Bombyx mori: one gene and its partners. The protein of the gene in region 1 interacts with the protein of each later gene in a pairwise test. Links are inferred from orthologs where the notes say so. Each region holds a gene or a part of one and is shown in the gene's direction. Other genes may lie near its edges. The genes, in order: COPB2, COPA and COPB.

Region 1 (8,541 bases):
ACTATCGTATATATGTAGACCTGAACAACTTTAACATTTTAGATTCACCTTCCACCACCACCACTTACCACAAAGTCGACTAATGTCTGGTCTGAATCTATCATTGTTGAAGAAGTGTTGACAGAGTCTAGTTGTACTTATTTTGTCATATTTCTTTCCAGTATCAATGAACATTGAAAAAGTGGGTTAAAGATTATTATCGAATTAACATACATTGTCATTTAAATTATATATAGTTTTCATATAATAGGTTGTTCAATAAAATCTTGGCAACTTAATAAACTATCAAACTATTAACCTTATAATTATGTGCTATGAAGACTGAAGAAACGTAATAGATAAAATTTGAAATCTTCACTAATTTGTTCTTAAACAGGATAAAAATAATAAAAAGTCAATACATCCTGTTAATTGCCACCTAATAGTTATTTATAATACACTAAATAATTGACCAATTTAGAATAAAAGTATATTAAAAGAAGTTGCTTACTGTGCATTACTACTAAATAGATATGACATTAAAATAAAATAATATTTCTAATTTGTAACGATTTCATTACATTTTTTTCAGAGTAATTATTAACCTTTTATAAGAAATCTTAGAACGTAAGTTTGTATTATGGTACTGTCTATTTTTTTTGACTTTGGTAACATTGTGTAAAATAATTACTAACATGAAAATGACGGGCTCTATAAGTCCACATATACTTAATATATAAAGTACAACATGTTTTCATTAAATTATTGTTTTTTCTTTAAACATGTGGAATTACATGACAAACTTAGTTATCATGGAAGGTTGAGAAATAATGCTATGCTAAACATAAGTTCACATACCCAAAGACCCAATTCAGAAAATGTATAAACTTTGAAAAATAAAAAGACTGGATTATTAAAGGAACATAATGTTCAATATTATAATGAACTGTTGGTGAATGTCTCAAAAAGCCTATTCAAATGTATAAATATGCCAAATATTACAAGACTTGGGGCTCTGTGGTGTATAGTTTAGCCAAAAATATGTTTCCATGCTTTCATTACTTAAATTAGTTGAAAACTAAAATGATGTTTATTCATATTTTTAGATAATTATATAAATATGAAATACAAACAACTAGTTTCATTTGTGTGTTATTTCATTTTATTATCATTTTGTGGCCTGTTTCACGCCCAAACATAGATAATATAATTGTTATGATATAATTTTGTAAATCATAGGGTCAGTTTTACACGCGTGTAGCATCGTGCACTCCACAACATTTTCCCCACTACGTCTATTTTACACGTTTTCCTTTTATTGCTTACCGTGCTATATGTATTAGTTTTTAGTCTTTTTTTTCTTATGATAGCCTTGAGAGGCTATTTTAGCTTCTCCTTGACGTGTAGGTGAGCGCTCACGGGGTTCCAACCGGAATTGTTGCTAACACTAGTCCTAGCAAGAGCAGTGCTTCGGAGAATCTGCTACCGGATCGGAAACGCGACCCACTGAGAAGATCGACGAGAAATTCAGTGGAAAATTTTTAGTCTCAAGACAGCACCGCTCTACTATAATCGGCGCTCATCTCTGCGCGGTATAAATACAAACAGGCTAATGGATAGGACATTGTTAGTGATATCTGCAACCCATTGACGTTAGCGTAGCGTTTGAATTTTTATTTATTGCTTCGTTGGGTGAACGAGCTCACGGCCCAACTGATTTTAAGTGGTGGCCGGAGCCCCTAGATGTTACAACGTAAATGCCCCCACGTGCAACCCACCTTGGGACATGAGTTGTAAGGTCTCACTTTAAAAGTACAACGGCTGCCCCACCCTTCAAACCGAAACGCATTACTGCTTCACGGCAGAAATAGACAAGGTGGTGGTGCCTACCCGTGCGAACTCATAAGACGTCCTACCACCAGAATGTCCTAATAGGTGCCTTATTTATGTGAACCCGGTGCCCAACATGAGCTATGAGACAAAAGTATTTTAAACTCGTGGTCATGATACGCGCTAACACCAGTAAGAGGGACGGCACGAAGAAGGTGCCACCATGGAAGCAGAGTATTTACTTTGTATTAAATTTATTAATTCAGTCCACGATTGTGTTTGTCAAATGAAGTCATTTAAAAATGGCGTTACTGTAGCACAACTTCTAAATTAAAAAGGAAAGGCAAAGGTTTTATTATTATTAATAATATGCGATTTTTAAAATATAGATTTCATAACAAACGTATTTTTTTTTCTCTTAGGTACTATAATAACCATACATAATATTTATATCTTTATGATTTACGACTTCTCATAACTTTTTCATTAATTTCTATAACCAATCTCAATCTGTTTGGAAACTGCGTTCCTGAAATTTTTTGGCCATTGTTAGGAAGCAATCTTCCTTCTATTTTGAACAATTTTGTACTGGAAGAGTAAAAACCCATATGAGAGAATTTTCCTTTAAACTGTTTTTATGGGGAGATAATGTAACAGGAAGTAAAATGACCAAATTCACGTACTTATTTTCCAAACCAGAACATCCGAAAGAATGTTATCACGACTATTATTTTATGCTTTGGTAAGGAGTGGACGGCGAATAGTATGATTATTTTTATTGTTTAGCAATTATTCTTATTTACGTTACGTAATTTATGAGTATAAATTTACCTTCTAAAAAAGAAGATAATAACCTCTCAATTTCAAAATTTAGTTAAATGTAATTAATATTAATTTCACTAGAAACAGACGTTTCTTGTTGAACTATTAAAATCTAGAAAGAAAATGGAGGTCATATTACTGATCTGTGATGAAGATGTTATAAAAAAAAAAACAAACATAGAAACATAGATTTTGTAGTATTAAACTTTTTATTACATTTTATTTTCAGTTTTGTAGATAAAATTTTATTCTTTGCAATTTTTAATTTCGTATGGCTTAAAATGTCTCGTTGGGATGCGAAAGCCGTACTTAACCGCTAAATCGTAATAATTTCGCGTATCCGATAAAACCGGTTTTGAATAAATCTAAAGTGACACGTCCACCCACCCTGTCAAACATCTACTGGTCCTGTAAATCTGCATGACGATTTTCATGTTTTAACCATTAAAAATGGTAAGAAAACAATTTTTACACTGAAATGCGTTTAAGTGATCGATATTCCAAAGACAAGATTTTCGAAAAAGTTAAAGCCACGTAATGCGCAGTCGTCATCACTTTGTCATCTTTGTAATGTCGGCACTTGCGCGATGCAAAAATTCATTTGTAATTAAGGGTAGTTTCATGTGTTGAGTGCATTTATAACGTGGTATCGCTATGTTTCTGAAGCCTCTGCGTCTGGATATCAAGAGGAAGCTGACGGCGCGGTCGGACCGAGTGAAATGCGTCGACCAGCACCCGTCGGAACCCTGGCTGCTCTGCTCCCTGTATTCAGGAGACGTTAACATATGGAATTATGAGACTCACGCTCAAATTAAGAGATTTGAGGTCAGTTTATGTACAATATATTAATACAATATAGTATTTTGGTTTCAAAATAATTTTACAAAACTCAAATTCGTAGCTTATTTTCGAAAACAACTGTACTGTTTTGAAACCATAGTACTTAAACATTAAATGCGAAATGAAACTGTAGCCGATTTAATCTTCTAGTACTTCTAAGAAAAGTGTATTAAAAAGTATCTGTGTCTGTAAAATTTTATAATTTTACTGCCACTCACTGCTAAGCTAGCTCTAATTTAAGATAATTACATAGAACTTTGATCTACAATATATGGCTATAGCCAATTTAATTTCCTCCCATAGATAATCAATATTATAATATTTCATTTATAAAACAAATGAAGGGTCCTTATCATGATTTCATTCACCACATTGCAAGTCTTGAAAGACGCGAAGTTAAAACTTATAATTTATTTTGTAAGGTATTTTATGTAAATATGATCTTTATTCATAATCACAACATATTTTTGTGCAATTTCCTTGAATAATACAATAAATAAGAAATTCACCATAAACAAACAATAAAAACATAATTATTTACTATTCTGAACGTAATCTGGACTCCTGTTTCTATGAAACTGATTTCTTATTCAAACTTAATGTGTTAAAAATATTTTCCCTAAGTAACCTGATAATAAATATATATTTCTCTGTTATCTTTACATTACAAAACAATTAAGTTTTATCTGTTAAACAGTGACTGAAATAAAAATATTACATGGAATTTATTTATTTTAAAAGCTATGACTGTTTGTTAGAGATAATAATAATATGTTCTAAATATATGCAAAATTATATAAAAAATAGTCAGTTAAATTCTAAAATGTGAATAAGATATATCTAATGGAATGTTCTTTGTAATGAAAATTAAATTATTTAATTACCATTATAAAATTTCTTCTAAAGTATGTAGTGATTCACACTTGAATGATTTAAATTAGCCATGCACCTCTTTTTTTCTGACTAGTATAATTTTTATTGTCCTGGATGGTTTTGGCTATTAATGTTTCTCACTTGTTTCAAAATAGTTACTCACTGTTTAGACTGGAGTTTATTCCTGCCTTGTGTCAGATAAGAGTATTCAGAAATACTGCTCTAATAGTAATAGACAACCAGTGTAGTTCACAATTCCGTCCACCATGAGTGAGGTCAATTGTAATAAATGTTCTGCCTTTCGAAAGAGAATCCATATTTGCTTTGCTGTAGAAATAGGTAGAATGGTGACAGTTACTTGGATGGACCTACAGTATACTACCACTAGTAGTAGTAAGTAATTACATTAATTTATGACTATGGATCTTTGTTACTCAATATTATTATTTTCTCATAGCTCAAAAATAATCTGGAATATATAGCCACTCAAGGCCAAAATATTCATTAGCCTGACAGAAATTGTTAGTTTTCCCAGATTAAGATGTACATTGTATTAAGCTCTGCCATCAAAAACCTCCACAGTGAATTTACATCTAAAGTATTTATATTTTCTCTGGTCAACAGTACGAAACTGCATGCAAAAGCCCTGTTGATATGATTTGATAACTAGTACACCCAAGATGCTTTCAGCTTAGGTTGCAAAAGGTACTGCTTGAAGAGTGCATTCTCTGTACCAAGAAGGTAATGAATATTGGTCCAAGTAAGGTAATATTATGGTTGATGCTGTATTTGAGCCTCAATGAAGACATTTAATATTTTGGGATAGTCACCACTAATCTGAGTAGGTCTCATTGACTCCCCACCTGATATTAATAGTGATGATATTCCCTCATGGAAGTGATAAATATTAATAGCTCGACAAAAATTCATACTTGCCTGTGATATTTGAACATCAGAACACTTGTATCTCTTGAAATTATTACCAGAGGCATCTCATTTAGGTTTTGATGATTATAACTTCATTTCAGCTCCTCTGTAGTTTGGTTCTTGCACAAAAATTAAACGTAAAACTGTTCAACAATAGCAGCAGCGACACAAAAAAAAACTGAAGTAAAATTAAATAGTTTTCTAATAAAAGATATCAAGAATATTCATTATTTGTCATGATGGATGAATTATAGATTAATCATATATATTAGAATCGGTTCCAACTACTATTAATTATGAACCTGAATGATGACAGTTTCACCATTGAAAGTACTCATTGAATTGAAAGAAATCCATCATTATTAAATATGTAATATTATGAAATAAATCATGGAAAACTTGCACATAAACATGCTTTTTAGCATATAAGCTTTGATTCTTAGATTATAGCTATCTAAGATTATAGCAATAGAGAATCATAAGTAACAACAAATTTCAAAACACCATTAATTAATTGATAGCATATTGATTTATGCCAATAAAAGCATTTGAGTCAGTGAACTGAAACTCAGTTACATTATACTCTCTGAATGTGTTATGAAAGGTTCACATAATTTAATAGTTAATGTTTACCTACAGTCAACTTTGTTCTTAGCATATCTTTTTTATTGCGTAGATGGTCACACAATGAGGTCACAGTCCACTAAGACAAAATTAGTTAACAGAGTCCATAGACATCACCAGGTGAACGCTCCCAATAACTATGCGAAGTCTCCATTTAAATTGAATCACATGACTTCCAATCAGTAAAAATGGGAACAGCGGTACCTATTCATACAGGCTTATAATATATTTTACCAGAAAATTGATACACATCTATTCAGTAATTGCTACTTAAGTAGCTTTAAAGTGTGTCCAAGAATAGACTCCTTGTATGTGGCAAAGTTTTTATATTGTTAATGATAGGGACAACAGCTGTATTTAACATTGTTCTACTGTCAATGTTATCTCATTCATTGCTTAAGCATTCATCGGATAATTTGATTTTCCAGTAATCTTTAATAAAGATGAGAAATTGTGTTTTTGTTTTTATTTTCTTAATGATACGAACATAAATGGCTGCTCATTTGTAATACTTGAGAGTGCTTTGTTTTCCAGTACTTTTACCTAAAATAACCAAGCATTTTGTAGCAAAACACATACACACAACAATTGTACAATTGAGTTGAATTCTATGACACTATTGGATATTTAATAATTAAAGTCAGATAGATACCTTATTTAAATGAATTGATCATATGACTTTTATTAAAGCAAATATTTGGTGCATATGTTCATTGTACTATCAATACATATCAATATACTGTCCATCAATTGATTGATTGACTGTATTAGAGGGTTGTCAAGAGATTGAGCCTATACACTGTCTTCAACCTTGAAATATGATGTTGGAGTATTGCAGAGTACAATTGCCATGGGATAACTACTGTTCTATGTTTTAATCTTCATCAGTAATTACTTAAAAAATAACGTGATTGAAAATCATGTTTCTAAGAATACATTTTTTTTTGTATTTTCAAATGAATTCTGTGCTTTATACTCTCCGTATAAATTAAATTAGAGTAAACATCATTCTGTAAGTAAACCAAAATGCCTCCAATTACAATACATAGTAAATTTTATAATAATTCGTTTTATTTTAAACAGGTATGTGATCTCCCGGTGAGATCAGCAAAGTTTGTTCCCCGGAAGAACTGGGTGATAACTGGCTCAGATGACATGCAGATACGTGTATTCAACTACAACACCCTGGAGAGGGTTCACTCATTTGAAGCACATTCGGATTATGTGCGATGCATAGCCGTTCATCCCACACAACCGTACATATTGACTTGCAGTGGTGAGTACTTGAAAGAAATAGATGTACTTGTCTACAATTTGCATAAAAACAATCACAAATTCTGTTTTACTTGGTTTGATTTATTTTATTTAGCTTAATAATATATAAGTATGTTTGTCCGATGAAGTCTACAAAACCTTGGGTTTTATTTTAAAGCTGTTAAATGAACTTGAGGAATATTTAATTTTAATTGTAGCTTGTAAGATATAAGATAGTTTGAACTATTGAAAATAATTGTAGGGGTTTCTGATCTGTATCTAATTTTACTACACGGAAAGGAACAGAGAGAAAAAATATGATGAGCTTGGAATGACTTAGGCTTATCAAGCATTACATACTGCATATTGACAAAGAGAATTTAGAAAAAATACAGTATCAAATAAACACAATATTTCAGATGATCTCCTAATCAAATTGTGGAACTGGGACCGTAATTGGACATGTCAGCAAGTATTCGAAGGGCATACGCATTACGTAATGCAGATCGTTATCAACCCGAAGGATAACAATACCTTCGCAAGCGCAAGTCTCGACACTACTGTGAAGGTAGGAATAATGGCGACGTATTGACGCCAACTGCGTTAAGATCCTTTCTCTTGTTGACATAGATCAGTAAAGGCGATAAAGCTCTTGTGGTAATTAGTGCTTACAACGAGAATGTTGCCGCGTACTTTAGGACATGAGAGATGGTATCGGTTTCGTGGTTAACCATGGACTCTGAATGATGAATGGATTATGGGCAATGAGCACTGAAACTGATGGTGAGGAGTGTTAGCTCGCATGTGTAGGTACCACGAACCTGTCTCATCCTGCCGCGAAGCAGACATGCCATCTAGTTTGAAGGGTGAAATAATTAGCTTTTACACAATGTAATGGGGGCCTTGACCTCATGTCTGAAGGTATCCATAAAGGGACAACATTCACGTAACGATGTCTAAAATAGTTGAACTTTCTTAATGTTTATCGTACTATTTTTAGGTTTGGCAACTTGGTGCTTCTATATCGAACTTCACTTTAGAAGGTCACGAGAAAGGCGTCAACTGCGTGGACTATTATCATGGCGGTGACAAGCCCTACCTCATCAGTGGAGCTGATGACAGGCTCGTCAAAATATGGGATTACCAAAATAAGACATGTGTACAAACATTGGAAGGTAAGTTTTGATAGAAGATTGTGCGTTTCTTAGTCCTGCATTGATTTAATCCGAGCTTTAAAAAAATCAAATAAAAATATATATTCCTGGGACTTATTACGAGAAGTAGACGACAGAATGTCATCGGGTTGGGATGGGGCCTAAATACGCAAACATAACTTATCTCATTCTTGGACAGGTCATGTTCAGAATGTATCAGCAGTATCATTCCACCCCG
Region 2 (8,322 bases), on another chromosome or scaffold:
AACTTTCCTTGGTTCTTTGACTAGAGTTTTAGGGCACTGCATCTCTGACCAGCTTATTGGTACCATGCTGACCCCTTGCGGTGATCCTTCAGCTGTAGCGATAACAACTCCCAGTTCATTTTCTGCAGTCGATAATTGGTACCAGTGGATTTCCGTCATTGGTAACTGAATTCCAGTTTAGGAAAATGATTATATATTATTTAATATTCAGTGAATATAATAGATGTATTTTTCAAGCTTGAGTAGACATAGAGTTTGATGTTATACAAAACCAAAACTGCATTCTATTTTGCAGTATAATCATAATTTCTAAGCAAATGTGACTCCAAAATCCCACAATGCTCAAGTGTTTCATGTGGTAGGCAAACTATAAGGTTAGTACATAATGTAAAGACCCATCTAATGAGTCAAATACAAACAAAGAGTAAGTCATTATTAAAAGTGAAAAGGTTTTTTGAATACTAACAAGTTTATAATATTGTAAAGGATACAACTCTAGCTAGTATAATATCTCCAGGTCTAAAACATTTATATGGATCAACTCTGTCTTTCTCTGTTGCCTTTATATCTTCTTTTTTTAATATTCCTTTGTACATTCTAACAAGTACTGAAGGGCCAACACAGAGGATTAGGCATTGTACAGTTCTTGGATTTACAACTGTTACTTTTGCGGTTACTATGTCACCTGTGTTGGGTAAAACACTTGGTGTTCTTGAACTTTCTACTGAAATTATATTAGCCTAAAAAATTTTCAATCATTAGTTTAATTTATAGGTTTTTTCATTTGTTTCATTTTCTATTTTGTTGAAATAGAATTCTGGGGTGAATTTAGAATTTCATCTGCTATTGCATAAAAAAATATTCTGCTGCTAAAAGAAGCGTCTGCTTGAAATAGTGAGCAAGCCTAAACTAAAGACCATAAAACCGAGTGTCCATAAGTGTCTTCTACAGGCAGTAAATTCCATATGATATACCTGTTAAGCTACAGTACCTATCTTCGTCCATGGTAATGTAGTGTTTTGCAGAGCATATTTATGGGCATTTTAAGTCACAATTAAAGAGGCACGGATGACGGTTGCAATAAAATCGTTTTAGCAATCAGTGGCAGCTTATACAAAGACTGTAACGTTATTTACTTTGGTGTTTTCATCCTCTTCTGTTTTCAAGATTCCAGCTAAAGCCGCATAAATATATCCTTTCAATTCATAGGTTCCCGGCCCTGATACGTTGTCTTTGTTTGATAAACTCAGTCGCATTCCAGGAATACATATTGAACCTATTTCTTTTATTTTTTCTTCCAAATTCATAATGTAGTAGAGGTTAGAATTTACAATTTAACTTGAACTACAACTTAAAGTTCGGTTAGATTATTTTCGTCACAGCTAAAACGTGTCTTTAATTGTAAACTGTCTTATAATAGTGTGTTGAACTGTGTTGTTTATTAATTCCAGTTACAGTTTGTTATTTGTTATGTACATAAGTTAAGATCACAGAACACTATTACTTCTAGCGAAGATAAGATTCTCAAATAAATTAGGTGTATAATCTATGGTTATGATCTTTTTTTTAATCGCGTAGTGAAATCATAGATTATACAAAAGTGCAAATGTTTTTTTGTTCGTTCTTTGATTAATTAAGTAAAAGAAACAAAGTTTATAGAGCTTAATCATTTCGTAATAGAGGGTGACATTTCTTCCATGAAACGTACAACGCAACGAAATCAATTTTTATTTAAATTGTTGAGATGTGACATTCCCTTTGTAAAATCCCGGATAACTCAGTCAGAGCATGAGACTCATAATCTCAGAGTCGTCATTCGAGACCCACGTTGGGCTATTTACATTTTGATCTCAGGTAAGCTTTTCTCCACGTGCCCCTTAGGTGCGAGGACCTTGTAAACCAAGAATAATAAAAATATTTGCGTTGTCGACTGGTACTACTGGAACTAATGTGGATTTACTGTAGATCATTCATTGGTGGTGTGAGCCAGCACAAGCAAATACCAGTACTCTGCCTATTCAATTATTCTGTCACGAAGCAGTAATGCATTTCTGTATGAAGGATGGGGCAGCTGTTGTACTTTAATACTGAGACTTAAAACTCATATCTAGGGATCGATAGTGGCATTAAGGTTACGATGTCTCTGGGTTTTATTTCAGAAAGAAATTATAAAGGACTTGGCTTCTGCCTTAATGATTTTTTTATTTCAGGATATAATATAAATCATATAAGACCTGGCTTCGGCTTTTTTGAAAATTCATTTTAGAAATTATATACAACACACAAGGCTGTATGGGTTTAGATCCCCTTGCCTTTCCTAATAAGGAAAAATTGAATCAAAAAATGTCTATGGGCTCTAGTGACCACTTAATACCAGATGGGCCTGGACTTTGTCTCGTCTCTCACTCGTCTAAATAATTAAAAAATATTGTTGCAGTAAGCAATGGCGTTGCTGGCTTTCCACTTTACTACTTTGACTACTTACCAGGTGGAACGTGTGCTCGTCTCCCTACCACGGAAAAAACGTTAGTAAGGAAGAGGGTACCACCACCACTACCACCAGTATTTGTTTTTCCTCTATTATTTCATCTACTAAAATATCATAATCGACTTGGATGATGCAAAATATTCTCACTTATTTTCGTAAAATCTTACTAGCCATAATAATATATTTTATCTACATAATTAATTACTGATTATTGTTAGTGCTACGATATGGTTCGTGAAAATCTATGTTATACTGACATCTAAGTTGAAATAAATGATTTTTGAACCTTATTTATATTATTAACTCAAAACACTCACAGCTAACATCGTCTTGGCTTATAGGATAAGACATCCGGTGCATTCGTGTTGAGCGATGCACCGGTGTTTCGAATCCCAGGCGGGTACCAATTTTACTAATGAAATACGTACTCAACAAATGTTCACGATTGACTCCCAAGGTGGAGGTATAACATCGTGTAATAAAAATCAAACCCGCAAAATTATAATTTGCGTAATTACTGGTGGTAGGGTCTCTTGTGAGTCCGCGCGGGTAGGTACCAGCATTAGTTCTGCCGTGAAGCAGTAATGCGTTTCGGATTGAAGGGTGGGGCAGCCGTTGTAACTATACTTGAGACCTTAGAACTTATATCTCAAAATGGATGGCGCATTTACGTTGTAGATGTCTATGGGCTCCAGTAACCACTTAACACCAGGTGGGCTGTAAGCTCCTCCACTCATCTAAGCAATAAATAAAAAAGCTAACCATTGATTCATCAGGAAAGATAAATTTAACTCAACCAGGCTACCCGACTCTCAAAGTTTTTTAATAACGCTAATTATACTGATGATTACAACCATTAAGAAGATACGAAATATGTGATTTTAATTGGTGTGTTTATTCGTTTCCATTCAAAATTAGTTAATGATTTGATCAAATTAACATCGATAGTTTTGTTCAGATTTGTCGATATTTTCAATTTTGATCAATTACAAGCTCAGCACTATTCTGTGTTGGACGTGTCACGTCAGCCGGTTGGCTGTCATTGCGCTTGTTTTAATTTTTGTAGTTTTTCGTATTATTTCAGCGGTGTTTGAATCAAAATGTTAAAAAAATTCGAGACGAAGTCTGCGCGGGTGAAAGGCATATCGTTTCATGCTAAGCGACCATGGGTGCTGGCTAGTTTGCACAATGGTGTGATTCAACTTTGGGATTATCGTATGTGTACATTACTTGAGAAATTTGATGAACATGATGGTCCAGTACGTGGAATTTGCTTCCATATTCAACAGCCTCTTTTCGTGTCGGGCGGAGATGACTACAAGATTAAGGTATAAGCCCTAATATGCCGTTAGTTCTTTTGCTAGTATAATTACAATTATTGTTGATATTAATCTGTCATGCTTTTGACACGTATTCCGGGCATGGAATGTTTGGTTTTGTGCATCTTTGCGAAGGCGAAATGTTTTTAGATTTTAATAATTTTATAAGTAAGCTAAGATTAAGACAATGTTATTTTGTTTAGTTTCAAAATTTAAAGCACTGATATTACAAATTTTAACCATTTTTGTTTTGATAAAGAACTGATTCGTTAACAAAACTTAGGTTTTTATAATTTCAAGTATTTTGTCCAAATGCATGCAACAAAAATGCCCTTCTAAAGCTAGTACTGTATAATGCGTTTATTGAAGTTTGAACACAATGTGAATGCTACTCACTGCCTATATTTATATACTAGAACCAAAGTTTCTATTTTATTAGAATTATGTGGAATATTTTTGGTAAAAACAAATTTTAAGAATTTAAACTAGCAGTAAGCCGACTTCACCTAATAGGTGTGTGGCTCTAATAAAGAATAAATAAATGAAAAAGGTAGCAGTAGATGGGAGAGTGGTACCATATTATCTCATCTCATGTGAGCTTGCAACTCTTCATAAATACTGAAAATAGGAATTAGAGAAAGATTTAGGTTGGAAAATAAGCCGAGGTTATTATTACAGTGGATAAGCTATTGCCATTCATTATTAAGATCTGAGATAGGGTTTCGTTGAGTGGATTTGAATTGTTGGATGTGTTTATTGTTTGCATAAATAAATAAATAAGTACACCATGGAGAAGTACTTGAAGTAGTTTGAAAAGGTTGTAGTCTAAAATAAAAGTAATTGCACATAATTACACAACAATTAAAATATTTTTGTCATTAAAGATTTCATTCTTTTACTAACTAAATTCTACTTTATTTATTTTTTATTATGTGTTTTAAAATAACTCACAGCAAACATTTTTTGTAGTGACTACATCTACATAGGATACTAGAGTATTAGAAGCATAGATGTTAAAACATGCATCACTTACGGTAGAATATGAGTTTGAAGTATCAATTAAATTATTGTAAAGGCTGTTTTACTGTTGTGTCAGAACGCATAACTGGTCTGTCCCAAAAATAGTCAGTTGTATATAATCATGCACTTTAATGATGTGTTTTAGCACCTGTAAGACTATGTAGTGTAGAGCTATGGAATTGAAAATAATTGAAATCATTTAAATTTGTATTATATATTGTGTTTGAAAAAAATTAATAATGCTGAGACTTTCAAGGAAGCCATACTTGCAGTATATATAACTATAAAGGTTTTATTTACATCTCAATTTACTTTTCATAATTCACAAAAGGTTTTTTAAATACATTTAAACCTTAAAAAGCTAAGCTTTAGCCGGAATGGTTTGACTATTTTGTAATGGCTTTTGATTTCTTTTCAACAAGATCCCACTAAACGTTCAACTACTACCTGTTCATAGATTTAAGAAAACTGTTAAGGAATGTTTGTGCAACAAGGCATATTATAAAGTTAAGGATTATTTACTAGATGGCACTACGTGGGAATGAGGCGCTCGCTCCTGGCCTTTTCATTTTTCATTATTAATATTATTATTTTTATTGTATTTTTTTGACTTGTTTTTTCTTTTATTGTGAATATTTCTATTTATTTAAAAAAAAAGAAAATATTTGAGAAAAAACAAAAAAAAAAGCCCGCTGAGTTTGTTTCGCCGGTTTTTCTCAGGACTGTGGCTTTTTTTGGAACTGGTGGTAGAGTTAACATTGTTATTTGTATTTTGACATTCAACAAGTGTGTCATACTGACATCTAAGTTGAAATAAATGATTTTGAATTTGAATTTGAATTTGATTATGATATTAACACAATTTTTTTTTATCAGGTCTGGAACTACAAACAAAGAAGATGTCTATTCACATTGCTTGGTCACTTGGATTATATACGTACAACATTCTTCCATCATGAATACCCATGGATTTTAAGTGCATCTGATGATCAGGTAACTAAATTCATTGTTTAAAGCATATCTGTTTAAGTAAGCATTTCATAAACAGGCTAAATTTTACTAAATAGATTGTACATTTTTTTGCAACTAAATTATTTAGGCATCATAATTTTTACGATGAAACTAATGAACTTGCTACTTAATTAATGAATGAATTAAGTGTAATTTGTATAATAAATAATATATTCATTTTTATTTACTAGAAGATATTCAAATATGTACATACAATACAATAATCCACCATTGTAGGTAACCAGATCATGGGCTGCATACAAAATTATTAACAGCTATCAAATTACTTTTGTTGCATTAGTGCATCAGTAGTATTTGTAGAGGTAATAAAAAAAAATTAACTTTTGTAGTTTAATCTCATGTATATTATTGTGATTATGTTATGTAATTTTAAAACATTGTGCTGTCTATTTAGTAGCCTAAAAAAATCAATTTATTGCTTTATTTCAGACCATAAGAATTTGGAATTGGCAGTCTCGACAATGCATAAGTGTTCTCACCGGCCACAACCATTATGTAATGTGTGCTCAATTCCATCCCACTGAAGATCTTCTTGTTTCTGCTTCATTAGACCAGTCTGTAAGAGTCTGGGATTTCTCTGGACTGAGAAAAAAGAGTGTTGCTCCAGGACCTGCTGGACTGACTGAACACTTAAGGAATCCACAAGCAACAGATCTTTTTGGACAGGTAACGCTAGTGGTTGGTCAATTGGTGTCACTGCTTTCATCAGGGATTATGGCTATGCATTCAAAATATCCGAGGAAGTAATGGTGATCCCGAAGTTAGGGTTAATCTACAAGATGTCCATATGTTTAATTTTCTTTAATCACAGCATGACACTATGTGTCGACTATGTACTGAATAATGTTTTTAAATTATCTTTATTGGGATTTTGGTGAGTTAAAATAATTCTTTGAAAATGAAAAATATATACCCAGCATATATTATTGATTTGTAAATATGTATTAATTATATTTTGTTTGTTTTATTGTAATTATTTACTTTTAACCAGTATCTATTGAATATCTACTTGTACTAACATCCCAAAACGATCCAAATACATCCTTTTTATTTGATCCAAACCTCCATACACAATCATCCAATCATTCTTTGTAAATATATTTTCTGTTCATCTCATTCAAACAAAAAACAGCTATTTGTTATTATGATTTTTTATTTTATTTAATTAATTATTTTTATTAATCAAAATCCCTGCGGTTCCGTTGCTAAAGCAACTGTACATGCAGGCTGATGCTGTTGTGAAGCACGTCTTGGAGGGCCACGATAGGGGTGTAAACTGGGCCTGTTTTCATCCTACTTTACCATTGATCGCATCTGCTGCAGATGACAGACAAGTGAAGCTTTGGAGAATGAATGATTCTAAGGTAAGGCTTTAGTGTATAGTTTATGAAGGTCATTGTCACCAATAATGTCTGACAAATACCTTATTAATAAATAAGCATATGTACATCTCTTTAATAACTACTAGATTAATGAACCAAATTAAATAAAGAAATTATTTTAATTTAGGAAAATTATTAAATATAAACAAAGTGCCATGCCAACCCCACCTAGTGGGATAAGATGGAGAAAAAAAAATTAAATATAAACAAAGTCAGTCTGTTCAAGAATACGGAAATTATAAGCTTCATTATATCATCTGGAATAATGACGTCATAGTTTATAGCCGCCTAACAAATTAGCGAAAATCGATTTGCAGGAAAGTGACAAAGCATTCTGTCTGAGTCCGATTAAAATATTTAAAAGCTATCTGTCTGAAAACCTTATTTATTTTAATTATTTCATAATAATAAATGATAAACTATTTCATGCAGCGCAAGACCAGTCTTTGTGGCGAGGCTTGGGGGAGGCCTATGTCCAGCAGTGGACATCCATGGGCTGATAGAATAGCATAGAAAAAAAAACTATTTCTACAATTCATATAATAATGTCCAATATGTTTATACTAAATTTCTAATAAACTTGAAGTTGAGTACTGAATGCCGAGACTAGCTGCTATCCACAAAATTACCTCTCAAGATCACTTTGCCAATGATATACCACCACTTCCTAGAAGTAAACCACCCTCACCAAACACCTCAGTGGTTCCCCACATGCAATGATGTACTCAGAGTTTACAACTTGAATTATATGCCACTTTTCCAGGCCTGGGAAGTGGATACATGTCGCGGCCACTACAACAATGTCTCCTGTGTTTTGTTTCACGCGAAACACGAACTCATCATATCTAACAGCGAGGATCTTTATATCAGAGTTTGGGACATGTCTAAAAGGACCCTCCTGCAGTCCTTTAGAAGGGAACACGAGAGGTAAACGAATTATTTTATCGTGAAGCTGGTTTGATCTTCTTTCTCTTCAGGTCGTAAACGGGATATTTTTTAGAAATTTCAACTGTTAACGTATGGGTTTCCGAATCTTAATAATTAGACCTGATTTTCGAAAATTGGAATTTCCTAAAAAATT
Region 3 (7,893 bases), on another chromosome or scaffold:
GCTACAAAATCGTAATGTTTTATTTAATTTGTTATTTATATTGATCTGACAAAGCGTGCCGTGACGTGATTTACTCGCAACTGAAACAGTCAAATGGCCCGACACCGCCCGCGCACGGTGGAGACAGGTCCCGATCTGTCCTATTATTCTTTACGCGCTCGACTAACTAGCATGTACTTTGTGCCGAATGTTCGGCGCTTCGGCCGACAGCGTTGCCGAATATTCGGTATTCGGTATTCGGCCAAATCACTATTCGTGGCAACTCTAACCCGCACTCAGCGTCTCGCACTACACCTTGCTACAGTCCCATTGATGTATCGGTGTTGTATGATGACGCAGCGCTGGAGCTGGTGAGCGCGCGGCACGCGGAGGAGCTGGTGCAGGTGCTGCGCAAGGAGGCGGCGCGGGCGCACTCCGCCGACCACGACGACGCCGCCAAGTACCGCCAGCTGCTCGTGCGCGCCATGCACAAGGCCGCGCTCAAGGTTCGCTCCCTTCCACTTCTAACGATGCCGTTCATACTTCATTCGTAAATATTATTTAATACAAGTGCGTCGCAGAAAAAAAGGATTGTGTGGTTTTATGAAACCACAGTAAAAGTGAAACTTTTTTCACATTATAGACATTTTACTCTGACTAACAAAATTTACATTAAACACTGACAAAAACAAACAAAATAGCGTGGAGCACTGGCACAAATCAGTAATAGTTATATACTACACGGTCAGCTGCTGCGAACTATAGGCGCCGCCATATTGGCCTTGGCTGCTCTGACGAGCGCCTTGCACTTTCTCCCTACTCCGCGGCTGACCGTCACGCGACATGCAACACACAGACGAAAAAGTTTGAGACGATATAATAAAAGTTTCACTTTAATTCAATTAATTTCATTTTGCTCTTTAGTTCTGATTCATGTGACTTTGCCGGAGTTCGAATCCCACAGACAAGTACACATATGTCTAATGAAGTACGTAGTTATCTCATGTTCACGAATGACTGAACTGTGACGGAATAACATTGTGTCATAAAGCTGGGTAGTGGTGGGCGTGCTGCGTAAGTCCGTTGCGTCCCGCAGTTCCCGGAGGTGGCTGGCAGCGTGGCGCCGGCGCTGCTGGAGCTGCTGGGCGAGGGCAGCGAGGCGGCGGCGCACGACGTGCTGCTGTTCCTGCGCCACGCGCTGCACGCCTTCCCCGACCTCAGGGACCACATCTACCAGGTTACTCCCCGCCCCGTACTGCTCAACTGGACGAGCACTACGGCTCTTCGCCTTATATTTTGTTCACCCATTTTGTTGTATTTGGGTCCTTGGGTTTGTAGATGGGTCGGTGACCCCACGAGGAGGAAGAGTCGTTTTGACTTTAGATATTGTTTTAATAGAAAAATACCCATCGAAAACAATTGCACCTACATGGCTTGGTAAAACATGACCACTGGCCACGGGGTACTAGGTGGCGAGTAGTGTGATGGGAGAATACAGCTTTCGGTTAGTTCTAGATACAGACCATATTCTATGAATGGTCCTGTGTAGTAAGTACACTGGGATTCATGTCTTCGAAGTCCAGGCCGCTGCCTACCGTTAAATACTTTCCGCAAGTTTCGTTTGAAGAAGGACATGTCATAGCGCTCGGGAAGCACCGTGGAGGGGAGCTCGTTGCCGGATGGCACGTGGCAAAAAATATCTCTGGAAACGCACTGGATGAACGCAGCGGTTATAGGTTCAATAGTTCTGCAAAATGTATTTGTTTATATTAGTCGATCCAAGATATCATAACGTTGTGATGCCGAGACAGCACACACTACAGCGCGCCTCGTGTCGCAGAAACTGGTGGAGTCCGTGCGCAGCGTGCGCGTGGGCAGGCCGGCCCGCGCCGCGCTGTGGCTGCTCGCGCAGTTCGCCGACACGCCGGGCCGCGCGCGCGCCGCGCTGCACGTGCTCGCCGACGTCATCGAGGGCGCCGCCGACACGCAGGTAGTGACGTCACACCCGCCACCACAGCGCCACAAGCGGACCCGACTCATCTCTGTGTGCTTGTAGCAGCCGGAGAGCGGGCCGGCCGCGGCGCCGCGCCGCCTCGTCACCAGCGACGGCACCTACGCCACGCAGTCCGCCTTCAACCTGCCCGCGTGAGTGCCGCGACGGCCCATACTTGTTATTTGTAGTGTAATGATTGTGTTCCTAGTGCCGTGTGCGTGCAGGTCGGGTGCGGCGGAGGGCGGCGCGGCGGAGGGCGGTGCGAGACTGGGCGGCGCACTGCTGGAGGGCGAGAGCTTCACGGCGGTGTGCGCGTGCTCGGCGCTGGCCAAGCTGGCCCTGAAGCTGCCGCGGCAGGAGGCGGCCCGCGCGCTGCACCTGGCCGCCGTCCTGCTGGCGCGCCACAAGCAGAACGCAGGTGAGTCCTCGCCCACACCGGTGCTGTGGGGGGGGCCGGGCGAGCGCTCACCGTCGTGTTGTCGCGCAGGGCAGCGCGGCGGGCTGACGGCGGACGACATGGAGCACGCGGCGCTGTGCGTGCAGGCGGGGCTGGCGGGCGCGGGGCTGGGGGGCGGGGCGGGCGGCGCGGACGTGCGGCGCGCGCTGCTGGACGCGTCGGACGCGGCGCTGGCGGCGCTGCTGGCGCTCCCGGACCGCGAGCCGCACCTGCTGGAGGACGTCGACAAGGTACAGCCCAGGCTCCACGTAACTGATAATCTGGCCCTTATCTCGCATGTGTTACCGATCTGCAAAAGCAAAGAGAACATTCCTGTACTCCTTCATCCTATTAAACCCAAAGAAAATTTTAAACGAATCAAGAACACATATGCACAAATATAATCTAAATTTTCTTCTAGTGAAATCTCATCTTACGTTTGTCTCACTTAGTTGTGTAAAATGTGATTTATGTTAACGCTTAAAGACATCAGTTAATAAGACGTAATATCGGCCACGGCAGGAGCGTGAACCGAAACGGCAGGAGCAGAAGGTGGAGATCGAGACGGGCATCACGTTCTCGCAGCTGGCCGGCGCCGGCGCCTCCGGCTCGCAGCACGACATGTTCGAGCTGGCGCTCAACAAGGCGCTGCAAGGTACTCCCACAGGACTAACGGCTGAGTCGCAGAGTTTGTCGACTTCATGATGTGCTCTTCAAAATGTGTATTTGATAAGATTATTTCGTCCGCCATGAACACCACGGTCCTCAGTGATTCTGCACTGTTCTTCCCCTGGCACGCAGCCGCGACTGGTTGGCGACCCTCTTCCAGTTCGATACGATTTAAAGTGATTGTTGTCAGGTCGCAGCGGTGGCGAGGCAATCGACCGCGGCAAGTTGTGCCGCGTGCGCCAGTTGACAGGATGTTCCGACCCCGTGTACGCGGAAGCCATCGTCTCCGTCAACCAGTACGACATCGTGCTGGACGTGCTGCTCGTCAACCAGACCGGTATGAGACTCCTTTATTAATAAACCAAAACTTTATTATATATCGTTCTTGCCGCTATCTTCCAACATTTTCCCACTAATTTGAAAAAAATGTTTTTGCAACTCCAGTGTTGTTAGAAATTTTATTAAAACTAGTCAAGTTTATGCTCAAAAATGTATAAGTTTGCATGGGAAAATACATTGCGCATAAATGTAAGTTTTTAATTTTTTTTTATTATAATAAATATAGGCTTTTATAATTTGCCGGGCCTTACGAACACCTTGCTGTCATATTATTATCGTTCAATGAATCGCTGATAAGCTCATGCATAAAAGTTGGTCCTTCGAGCCTACTGCAGTTCCGTTGTTTACAACTGCGATGCAATGTACGACAAGCAGTAGCGGGTAGTGTGCGTGGTCCGCAGACGACACGCTGCAGAACTGCTGCGTGGAGCTGGCCACGCTGGGCGAGCTGCGCCTGGTGGAGCGCGCGGCCGAGGTGGTGCTGGCGCCGCGGGACTTCGCCTCGCTGCGGGCGCACGTCAAGGTCGCCTCCACGGAGAATGGCGTCATCTTCGGGAACGTGGGTACGTGCGCGGGGTCATTGAACATTAACTTAAGGAAAGGAAGAGTATTCGTATTGTTTTGTGAATACGTTAAGGAGTAGTAGTGCACTTCAGACGCAGGGCGTAGGATTATATTATCTATTTGCATAATTCACGAATCCCACTGTCCTTAGTATGGGTTATAGTGTTGTAAGCTCACCCGGGTAAGCGCCAGCGTCTGCCAACTTAGGCATAACTAACCTGTGTGTCATATACACTCTACACGCCGAAGCAAGTAAAAATATTAAATTTTCAGTATACGAAGTGACGGGAGCGTCCATGGACCGCGGCGTGGTCGTGCTGAATGACATCCACATTGACATTGTCGACTTCATCCAGCCGGCGCACTGCAGCGACGCCGACTTCAGGCAAATGTGGGCTGAATTCGAATGGGAGAACAAGGTACGTCTCGGCTCGGAGCCGGTCGCGGAACGACTTGGTTACCAAAGTAGCTTGAGGACGCAAAACTATCGGTTGTTTTAACAAAAAACTAATCTTTGGTTCCGAGCTCTGTGTTCTGTTTGTAACGTCCAGCCACTGTCCGCAGGTCTCCGTGAACACCAACATGACGGACTTGCACGAGTACCTGCAGCATCTGCTCGCCTCCACCAACATGAAGTGCCTGACCCCCGAGAAGGTAACCCCCCTCCTTAAGTGACTTCAAACAAATATATACTTGAGGACTGTGGTAGATACAATAAGCTAAAATAAGGTACCAATAAATTAACAGTGATTTGAAAAAAAATTACAAATTAGTTTAAAGTCATTAAATTTTACCCACGCAGTCTGTGGTATTGATACAGATCGATCTAATCTACTGATAACTTGAAAGGTGATATTAAAAAAAAGTGAAATAAACACGAGACTAAACAGCAATTCATTGATAATGTTTCGTGCAAGGTGGAATGTGGACTGGACCGTCAAATTGTCACATAAAATTTTGAAATTAAAATTGTGTTGTGTCTGGTAGGCGCTGTCGGGGCAGTGCGGGTTCATGGCGGCCAACCTATACGCGCGGTCCATCTTCGGCGAGGACGCGCTCGCCAACCTCAGTATCGAGCGGCCGCTGCACAAGCCCGGCGCGCCCGTGCTCGGACACGTGCGCATCCGGGCCAAGACACAGGTAACTACGTGCCCCCGCGCCCAGACTTAGGTAATTACAGGGGGTGGAGGGCGACACGTGCCCCCGCGCCCAGATGTAGGTAACTACGGGGAGCGGAGGGCGACACGTGCCCCCGCGCCCAGATGTAGGTAACTACGGGGAGCGGAGGGCGACACGTGCCCCCGCGCCCAGATGTAGGTAACTACGGGGAGCGGAGGGCGACACGTGCCCCCGCGCCCAGATGTAGGTAACTACGGGGAGCGGAGGGCGACACGTGCCCCCGCGCCCAGATGTAGGTAACTACGGGGAGCGGAGGGCGACACGTGCCCCCGTGCCCAGATGTAGGTAACTACGGGGAGCGGAGGGCGACACGTGCCCTCGCTCCCAGACGCAGCTAACTATGGGGGGCGGAGGGCGACACGTGCACCAATTTAGGATTTTTCTTCTTTTTCGAAAATTTTACACAACCCTTTGTGAATCATAAAAAAAACTTAGTTAGAACTAATTTGTAATTACTTCCCGCCTAAATTGCTAAGTTACGCCAAAAAGAACAATGGCGTTCGGTAAGGGACCGTCTGTATGTCGGGCCGGTAGCGAGGGCGTTGCCCCCGGGCCGCTGGTTGAGCCGCGCGTGTGTCGGCAGGGCATGGCGCTGAGTCTGGGCGACAAGATCAACATGATGCAGAAGGCTTCCCACCAGAAGCCCGCGGACCCCACGCCGGCCGCCTGAGCGCCGCTGATGTGACCACCGCCGACGTCCTACCTTACTTTCGTTATTATAAAAATTATAAACATTATCTTTATTTCATGACGTTTTTATTTATTAACTAGCGACCCGCCCTAGATTCGCTTCGGGAACTGTAATTTATTATTGATTTTTCTACCACTTAATGGATGTTATTATACATATAAGCCTTCCTCTTCAATCACTCTACCTTTAAAAATAAACCGCATCAAAATCCATTGCGTAGTCTTAAAGATTTAAGCATACATAGAGATATAGGGACAGAGAAAGCGACTTTGTTTCATACTATGTAGTGATGATAGTGATAGTGAAGTCCTATTCATATCTTATTATTGGAACGATACTGAGACCTTAGAACTTATATCTCAAGATGGGTGGCGCATTTACGTTGTAGATGTCCATGGGTTCCAGTAACCACTTAACACCAGGTGGGCTGTGAGTTCGTTCACCCACCTAAGCAATAAAAAAAATGTAAACCCTCCTCCCGATACGTGGTTGGGACCACAACAGTGCTATCATGCTAGCAAGAATAAAGAGATGTACAGAGACAAGAAGAGCGCTAGAAATTATTTCTTACACGATTTAAAGTTGTAATGAAAATATTGTAATAAAACAATAGTTTATGTTGCGGAATTATAGAAAAACTTTTGAATCTACATATTAGTTAATTTATTAAAAATATATTTGTCGGGATTTTCCGCATCTTGTCGATTATAATGCAACTTAGAAATAAATTAAATAAAAATTGAAATAAATTCGAACCATAAGTCGCTCTAACACATTTATGTTCCTAAAAAAACAAATATCTATACTAATATGTAAATGTGAAGGCATGTTCGTTTGTTTGTCCTTCTTTCACAAAGAAACGAAGTAATCATTGACATAATTTTGATTTTTGATTGATTGATCATTATGATTTTGCGGTAGGCAGCGGTCTGGCTCTGCACCTGGCATTGCTGAAGTCCATGGGCGACGGTAATCACTCACCACCAGGTTGGCTGTATGGTCGGCTGCCTACAAGGGCAATAAAAAAAGTGATAGTATTAGGTGTTACAAGCGTGCATAGGACATCTTTTATCCTAAAAAAAATATCTCATTCCCACGGGAAACTACACCGCCACTTTTGCTCGACCACGCGGGCGAAGATGCGGGCAGCGGCTAGTTTGAGTCTAAATATAACTGTATAGTAATTTTTGTTTTATCTTTCTTCCTCTCCTGTCGGCCACTTACTTTAAGGTATTTTTGGATTCTAAATTGGTCACACCATTAAAAAAATATTACTTCGAATACAGAGGGCTTTAACACACTGAGTTTCTCGCCGGATCTTCTCAGTGGGTCGCCATTCCGATCAGGTGGTAGATTCTGCGAAGCACGGCTCTTGCTAGGGCTAGTCTTAGCAATTCTTTCAGGTTAAGCCCGTGAGCTTACCTTCCCGTCCACGTTGTTTGAATAGCTACAAAATATTAGTTAGATCGAACCATAATAAAAAATAGGGTTTATGCAACCGTACCAGAGCGACCAATTATAATACTCTAGCCGTACTCGCCCGCTTCGCTGCGCATTTAAAATTAACATTATTATTTATTGTCATTATTTTTAGGGAGTCCAACACTCATTTAAATATTAGCCTATCCATTAAGTAGATACGTGTATTTTCTACATGGATACCAAGTTTCAAGTCAATCGGATGTACGGTTCAGTAGTTATAACGGAACATCCGTAAAAACCACTGTAGATCTATATATTTATAAAGTAAAGATGACGGGGCTCTTAGCACGGCACCCGACACTTTTGTACATAGCCACAATGAAAATTTGTTCACGCAAGTAAAATAACCAAAGTCGGGGAATTGGGGTTGATTAAAACAAATTCAAATTATGAAATAAATTAGTTTATTGTATCGTCATAGGCTGTTAACGACGTTTCGTGGAAAAGTATAAATAATAAAAATATTTTGTTCATATTATAATAGCAATAAGTTAATGGATTGGTTACAAAACTGTAGGACGCGACCGGCCCGCGTCGAGGGCCCCATCAGTGGCGCGTCCG

The links.
Region 2: the proteins of COPB2 (region 1) and COPA interact in a two-hybrid assay, tested with the Homo sapiens proteins (2 studies listed by BioGRID, with this or other methods). The link is inferred for Bombyx mori from reciprocal best matches to the Homo sapiens genes COPB2 and COPA.
Region 3: the proteins of COPB2 (region 1) and COPB interact in a two-hybrid assay, tested with the Homo sapiens proteins (2 studies listed by BioGRID, with this or other methods). The link is inferred for Bombyx mori from reciprocal best matches to the Homo sapiens genes COPB2 and COPB1.

The regions. Positions count from the first base shown.
Region 1 is NC_085107.1:19,809,012-19,817,552, reverse strand, and holds the start of COPB2 (coatomer protein complex subunit beta 2), read left to right. Parts: upstream 1-2,951; 5' UTR 2,952-3,081; coding exon 3,082-3,084; intron 3,085-3,270; exon of another isoform or gene 3,271-3,285; coding exon of another isoform or gene 3,286-3,297; coding exon 3,298-3,456; intron 3,457-6,978; coding exon 6,979-7,171; intron 7,172-7,568; coding exon 7,569-7,717; intron 7,718-8,149; coding exon 8,150-8,324; intron 8,325-8,502; coding exon 8,503-8,541. UniProt on the Homo sapiens protein: The coatomer is a cytosolic protein complex that binds to dilysine motifs and reversibly associates with Golgi non-clathrin-coated vesicles, which further mediate biosynthetic protein transport from the ER, via the Golgi up to the trans Golgi network.
Region 2 is NC_085132.1:3,507,449-3,515,770, reverse strand, and holds the start of COPA (coatomer protein complex subunit alpha), read left to right. Parts: upstream 1-3,477; 5' UTR 3,478-3,588; coding exon 3,589-3,816; intron 3,817-5,703; coding exon 5,704-5,820; intron 5,821-6,288; coding exon 6,289-6,525; intron 6,526-7,070; coding exon 7,071-7,223; intron 7,224-8,004; coding exon 8,005-8,168; intron 8,169-8,322. Other genes in the region: exosome complex component CSL4, read right to left, coding at 1-165, 492-740, 1,137-1,307. UniProt on the Homo sapiens protein: The coatomer is a cytosolic protein complex that binds to dilysine motifs and reversibly associates with Golgi non-clathrin-coated vesicles, which further mediate biosynthetic protein transport from the ER, via the Golgi up to the trans Golgi network.
Region 3 is NC_085119.1:977,802-985,694, reverse strand, and holds the end of COPB (coatomer protein complex subunit beta), read left to right. Parts: intron 1-339; coding exon 340-485; intron 486-1,075; coding exon 1,076-1,216; intron 1,217-1,819; coding exon 1,820-1,969; intron 1,970-2,035; coding exon 2,036-2,124; intron 2,125-2,196; coding exon 2,197-2,390; intron 2,391-2,459; coding exon 2,460-2,659; intron 2,660-2,930; coding exon 2,931-3,063; intron 3,064-3,267; coding exon 3,268-3,414; intron 3,415-3,817; coding exon 3,818-3,979; intron 3,980-4,253; coding exon 4,254-4,399; intron 4,400-4,544; coding exon 4,545-4,634; intron 4,635-4,967; coding exon 4,968-5,120; intron 5,121-5,742; coding exon 5,743-5,829; 3' UTR 5,830-5,902; downstream 5,903-7,893. UniProt on the Homo sapiens protein: The coatomer is a cytosolic protein complex that binds to dilysine motifs and reversibly associates with Golgi non-clathrin-coated vesicles, which further mediate biosynthetic protein transport from the ER, via the Golgi up to the trans Golgi network.